Linked DNA regions of Rattus norvegicus. The protein of the gene in region 1 purifies or fractionates together with the protein of each later gene. This does not show direct contact. Links are inferred from orthologs where the notes say so. Each region holds a gene or a part of one and is shown in the gene's direction. Other genes may lie near its edges.

What was found.
Region 2: the proteins of Pes1 (region 1) and Ddx27 purify together in Homo sapiens (affinity purification with mass spectrometry; 4 studies listed by BioGRID and IntAct, counting the BioPlex papers as one, with this or other methods). This does not show direct contact. The link is inferred for Rattus norvegicus from reciprocal best matches to the Homo sapiens genes PES1 and DDX27.

The regions. Positions count from the first base shown.
Region 1 is NC_086032.1:83,072,980-83,076,730, forward strand, and holds the start of Pes1 (pescadillo homolog), read left to right. Parts: upstream 1-1,366; 5' UTR 1,367-1,380; coding exon 1,381-1,404; intron 1,405-3,751. UniProt on the Homo sapiens protein: Component of the PeBoW complex, which is required for maturation of 28S and 5.8S ribosomal RNAs and formation of the 60S ribosome.
Region 2 is NC_086021.1:176,180,139-176,182,988, forward strand, and holds the end of Ddx27 (probable ATP-dependent RNA helicase DDX27), read left to right. Parts: intron 1-856; coding exon 857-951; intron 952-1,027; coding exon 1,028-1,151; intron 1,152-1,326; coding exon 1,327-1,414; intron 1,415-1,811; coding exon 1,812-1,883; intron 1,884-1,976; coding exon 1,977-1,995; 3' UTR 1,996-2,280; downstream 2,281-2,850. UniProt on the Homo sapiens protein: Probable ATP-dependent RNA helicase. Component of the nucleolar ribosomal RNA (rRNA) processing machinery that regulates 3' end formation of ribosomal 47S rRNA.

The DNA.
Region 1 (3,751 bases):
AGTGATTTCCCTCTCCCTCCTACCAGGTCTGGGATTACAGGCCCCCACCGCAACTTTTGTTTTGCTTTCTCAAGACAGTTTCTTTTGTGGCCCTGGCTGTCCTGGAACTCAGAGATCCACCGGAAGGCCTCTGCCGTCTAAGCGCCTGCGCGCAACAACTGCCCGGCTGTCACTACAACTTTTATGTGTGTGTTGCAAATCTGAACTCACATCCTTATGCTTGCAGTGGAATTCTGTCCACTGGGTCGTCTCCTCAGCTCTGTTTTGTTTTCTCGGTTTCGCTGTTTTGAGACACTATCTCTAGCCCAGACTGGCCTGAAACTTGGGATCTCCCAGCTTCAGACTGCTGTGCGCTGTGATTACAGGCGCCACCAGGGTGTTATGCCTTCTGTTTTCTTTCTTTCTTTCTTTCTTTCTTTCTTTCTTTCTTTCTTTCTTTCTTTCTTTCTTTCTTTCTCTCTCTCTCTCTCTCTCTCTCTCTCTCTCTCTCTCTCTCTTTCTTTTGGGGTGGGGGGGGGAGACAATGTGGCACTTAATACCCTCGCTACCCTGGAACTCACAACATGCATCTGGTTAGCCTCAGACTCAGAGATCCGCTCCTGTGTCTCAACTCATTCCCCAAATTTAAGTGGTTCCTTAGGCCTTTCTATCCGTGTGAGGTAAAAGGTAGCCTTTTGCTCTGTTTTATTCTAACATGAGCAAACAAACTAGGTGCCCCTGAGCCTAAGGCCAACAAGACAAAAACCTGGCCAGCTGGGTTTACAACGCCTAGCAACCGTTGCCATGACAATTCAACCCTTAAATTCACTGGCCAGTCAGTCTAGCATTACAAAAGCTAGTAGCTTTAGATTTAGTGAACATTTCCGGGGGGGGGGGTGTTTGGTTTTGTTTTTAAAGAAAACATCAGCCAGGCGTGGTGATCTGCACCTTTAATTCCCGCACTCTGGAGGCAGAGGCAGTCGGATCTCTGAGTTCAGACCAGACTACAGAGCCCTCAGCATCCCAGAAGGCGTGGGGCTGTCTCCCAGCTTTCAGTCCTGCTGTATCCCGAAATGCACTGGGGCTCGCGTGGTCAAACAACTCTGTCTAGGGTGGTTATAAAACTGCCTAAGTTTCCATGTTGGTTTAAAGCTTGTCTATATAGATTTTGGCAACTAGGAAAAGGACTGAAAGAACTACCACAATTTCTGAGCTTTAGAGACTTTGGTCGTAAATAATGAGGTCACAAAAAGCACAACGTTCTCTGGACATGCACAGGCATATTTTCGGACAGCCCTGAGTTGGCGGCGTGGGGTCCTTCAGGGCCCTAAGCGGGGCACGTGCGGTAGGAAGTAGCTCTGCCTTTCCGCTCCGCTTTCAGGACTTTCTCAACGTGGAGCTATGGGAGGTCTGGAAAAGAAGAAGGTAAGTGGGTTACAGGGGTGGTGGGTGCTTGGACTTGTCACTTTCCCTAGCCTGTGGGAACCGAGAGGTCGTGAGACGGCCGCAGGAGTAAAGCTGCTGCACGCAAGCCCCTGGAAGCCGGAGAACTCTGACGGGCTTTCTGTGGAAGGAGTTGTGAAGACTGACTGAGCTGCCAAACAACAATTAGAGAGTGATCAACGGGACGTAGAATACATCATTACGTCTTAGAAATTTTCTCTGTTGAGCCAGGCCCAGTCCTAGGTACTGGGGATTGAGAAGTAAACAATCAGATGTGGCCCCGCTTTCCCGGTGTCAACCTTTCCCGTTGGACAAAAGTAACCAGATAAAGTGGCTAAAGATTCTTTTTTTTTTTCTTTTCTTTTCTTTTTTTCGGAGCTGGGGACCGAACCCAGGGCCTTGCGCGTGGCTAAAGATTCTTAAGTGCGCTCTAGAGTAAGCTAGGAAGGAGCAGTAAAGTGAAGAGTAGCAACAGACAATTCGATTAGTGTTGTGTTGGAGGTCCTCTTCTGACGTAGCATTTTAGTGGAAATCTGAACAAGCAGAACCCTTTAGATGGGTCAGGGGCATGGAAGTGTTGGGGTATGGGCCTCAACCTTCCCCAAAGAGAATTCTCGGCACTCAGATAAAGGAGAGACTTATAACAGTGTGCAGCTGTAACTTAAAGAGGCCCAGGCTCCAACAGAAGTGTTTCGTGGTTTATATGGGGTTAGGCATTGTCACAATCGTATTTCTTAGTGTGGTCTTTTTCTCCTTACATGTTTTACAGAAGCTGAAATTTCCAGGTTTCTGGTTAAGATAGTTTTATCTTTAGCAATAGAATTTGCTATCTTATGGTATTGGTAGTGGTCACTTCTCAAGGGAGAAAAGCAGGTTTATACCTTTTTTTCCTACAGAAATGGGGAAAGGATGAGCCGGTTAACAAAAGTAGAAGTCAGTACCGTTTTAGCTCTGTTGTCTCAGATTAGAGAGTTTCATCTTCCTGTGCAACCTGGTGCTTACTAAATAAGCTTATTAATCATAATTAATGTGAAAGCTTGCTGGTTTTCTTTTCTCCTTCAGAAGTGCTTAGCAGAGAAAACTGCAGTGGAAACCAAGGCCAGTAGGTAGGAGAGGTTGGCAGTGTGCAGGGTTTTGAAAAAACACCAACATGGCTGTCTAGGTGAGGATGGGGGCTGTGCCATGTAAGGCTTGGAATTTATTCTGAGTGGAGAAGACAGCTAAAGAAAGGGTCTTGATCTGAGTTATTCTTGCTTCTGCAAGGAGACTGTAGGCTCGAAGGGACTTTGGGATAGGATGACTTAGAAGTTTCTGATACCAATCTGTTTTGTTCTTTTTAGTTACTTTTTAAAATTGTTTTTAACTGTCTTTTATTTATCTTTATGTATGACTGCCGTATCTGTATGTGCACCTGTAGGCCAGAATAGGTCATCAAATCTTATTACAAATGGGTGTGAGCCACTGTGTGGTTGCTGGGAATTGAGCTCTCGACCTCTGGAAGTGCAACCAGTGCTCTTAGCCACTGAGCCATCTCCCCAGCCCCTTTAATTATTTTTTTTTTTGAGACTATAATTACATTATCCCCTTTTCCCTTTCTTTCCCTCCAAACCTTTCCATATACTTTGACTTGCTCTCTTTCAAATTCATGGCCTCATTTAAAATGGTTCTTACATACTTATATGTATGTACATATATGTTCCTAAGTGCATAGATATACCTGCTGAGTCTATATACGTGTGTGTGTGTGTGTGTGTGTGTGTGTGTGTGTGTGTGTGTGTGTTCAGGGCTGACCATTTGGTATTGGATAGCTTATTGGTATCCTTTTTCCTGGGGAAGACTATTTCTCCCACTCACAGCATTCCTTAGTTGCCTGCAGTTCTTTGTGTAGGGTTCACAGCTTTTGGGCTTGCTTCCATCCGCGTGAGCAAGTCTGTTGTTCTTGTTCAGCTCATGTTTAGGCAGCCATGTGGCTGAGACAGCTTCTGTCACTCCTAGGATACACATCTCAGCAAACTTTCCTCTGGCACTTAAAGGTTTTCAGTTCCTTCTTCCACAGTGCCCCTGAGCCTGAGGTGTAGGAGTTGTTTTGTAGTTATATTCATTGGGATTGGGCTTCACAACTCTGTGTTTTGATTGGTTGTGGTTTTCTGTAATGGTCTCTATTGCAAAGAAGTTTCTTTGTCGAGAGGTAAGGACTACACATCTCTGGGGTCTAAGGACACATACTTAGAACGTAGTCAGGGATTATGCTGGTTTATGAAGTGATGGTTGTAGGTTCTCCTTCAGGACTGGGTAGCCCAGGGTAGTTGGCAAGGCATGGTTTTCCTGT
Region 2 (2,850 bases), on another chromosome or scaffold:
TTATTTATTTATTTATTTAGATTTATTCATTTCATGTATGTGAGTACACTGCCACTGTCTTCAGACACACCAGAAGTAGACATTGGATTACATTACAGATGGTTGTGAGCCACCATGTGGTTGCTGGGAATTGAACTCAGGACCTCTGGAAGAGCAGTCAGTGCTCTTAACCACTGAGCCATCTCTCCAGCCCTAGGGTCTCTCATTGGTCTAGAACAAAGCAAATGGGCCTAGTCTGGCTGGCCAGTGAACCCTAGAGATCAGCCTTTCTCTGCCACCTCAGTATTGGGGTTATAAACAGATTACCACCACCACTACCCCATCTAATAGCTTCTGGGTGCTGGGTTCACCCTTAATCTCAAGATTCTGGTGGCAGAGGTGGGTGGATCTCTGAGTTCCAGGCAAGCCAGGAGTACATAGACTCTGTGTCGAGAAGCCAGTTTAAAATGAACAGGGCCGGGCTGGAGAGATGGCTCAGTGGTTAAGAGCACCGACTGCTCTTCCAGAGGTCCTGAGTTCAATTCCCAGCAACCACATGGTGGCTCACAACCATCTGTAATGGCATCTGATGCCCTCTTCTGGTGTGTGAAGACAGCAACAGTGTACTCGTATACATTAAATAAATAATAAATAAATCTTTAAAAAAAAAAATGAACAGGGCCAACTTGCCAGTGGCTGCACCACTGAGGAGTATGACTCCCCTTCTCCCAGCAACCATAATTGAGCAACCCTCCCCAAGCCATCATTCTTCCCTGAAGGGCACTTTACTCAGTGAGCTGTCACCCCCTAGTTACTTCTCATTTTAATTATTGACAGAGTCAAACAGCCCCTAAAATCCACTCTGTTTTCATTCCAGTTGCCAAGGCTCTGCAGGAGTTTGACTTGGCCTTAAGAGGAAAGAAGAAAAGGAAGAAGTTTATGAAGGACGTCAAGAAAAAGGGGGAGATGACGGTGAGTGGCCTCCCTGTGGCACAGGGTCCCATGGAGCACTGGTTGGTTCTGTGCTCATCCCTCACTCTGCTCCTAGGCGGAGGAGAGGTCCCAGTTTGAAATCCTCAAGGCACAGATGTTTGCAGAGCGGCTGGCCAAGAGGAACCGCAGAACCAAGCGAGCACGGGCAATGCCTGAGGAAGAGCCTGCAGCAGGCCCTGGTAAGCGATGAGGAGGTCCATTCTGATGCCTGCACCAGGGCAAGTGTTGGTGGCGTGCATGGCAGTGACCAAGCTTTGGAGGACTTGGGATGTATCCGTGTACTTGAATTCTGGAATTCTCTCCCTCAGTGTCAGGGGACTCAGTAGCCTCTGAGCCATTTTTCTCTGTGTGCAGCCAAGAAGCAGAAGCAGCACAAGAAGTCTGTGTTTGATGAAGAACTCACCAACACAAGCAAGAAGGCCCTGAAACAGTACCGGGCTGGGTAGGTTTAAGTGCTGTATTCAGCCTCTGTGCTGCTCACGGAAGCATCTGCATCCAGGCTCACTCCCAACTCTTCCCTAGAGCTTCATAATGCTGTGTGTGACTCAGGTCCTGATGAGCAGGAGCAGGGGAGGTCTAGTGTGCTCCCTACAGGAGCTCTCCTCATATAGACAGCTTGATCTGGCTGGTCGGAAAGGCCTGCCCGCTGATTCTGAGTTGTCGACTGACTTCCAGAAGGGCATGTCGTTCTGTACAAGCCCACAGGAGACTGAGCCCCAGCCGCTAAACTTTCCTCTCAGCACTCGTCCCTCCTCTGCTGGCCAGCGAAGCCAAGATAGGGTGGGTGCCGTCACTCATGCCCCACAGCCTGCCCAGCTCATACCTCATCTCTCTTACAGCCCTTCCTTTGAAGAGAGGAAACAGTTAGGTCTGCCCCGCCAGAGGAGAGGGAACTTCAAGTCTAAGTCCAGGTGATGCTGCGCTTTGGAGGGGCTGGAGAGGCAGGCTGCTGTGGGAGGCAGTACTGTCCTCCCTTCTGGTTCTAATGTTGATTTCCTTAATAGGTACAAGAGAAAGAAGTAGTATGAGTGGTGTGAAGAAGTTGGTGGGACAATTTTATATCCCTTCCCTGTGGGAAGTCATCTTGTCTTGGTCTGAATTTTTCCATTTATGAAACCCCAAACCCGAGGCTGGAGAGATGGCTCACTGGTTAAGAGCACTGACTGTTCTTCCAGAGGACCGGAGTTCAAATCCCAGCAACCACATGGTGGCTCACAACCATCTGTAATGGGATCTGATGCCCTCTTCTGATGTGTCTGAAGACAGCTACCATGTACATACGTACATAAATAAAATCTTTAAAAACAACAGACCCTCCTGTTGTCTGTGGATCTGTTGGAACAGCTCTTAGATACTCACCCAGTGTTATTCATGCCTCCTTTTTTAAATCTTGAGTGTGTAGCCCAGGCTAGCTTGGAGCCTGCGGTTTAGGCCTCTATTTATTGATGGGATTACAGGTGTGCACTGCTGTGCCGGGTTCCCCTTCCTGGCTAGATCTACACATACCAAATGCAGGAATTCTACTGTGGGACACAGCCAGTTCTCCAGCTGCATAGACCCTGCTCACACTTGCCAACTCGGGCTGTTTAGTAAGTCAGGGCTCATCTGGGGCTGGGGTACAGGTCAGACCAGGCTCTGCCACAGGCAGAAGGATCTCCTGTTAAAAGGCGGGGCTGGTGAGACGTCTCAATCAGCAAAGGCAAGACTGACCTGAGCCCCATGCTGGGACCCGAACCCTGGGAGAAGACCACAATGTGTTCTAAACAGTAAAGTGCTGAACTTTTAGGAATAGGCACAGGGTATATCGTCTCGGGACTCGTGAGACATTTGCTATGGGTTAAGGAATGTCTTACCAAAAGTGATATGCCTCACCATAGG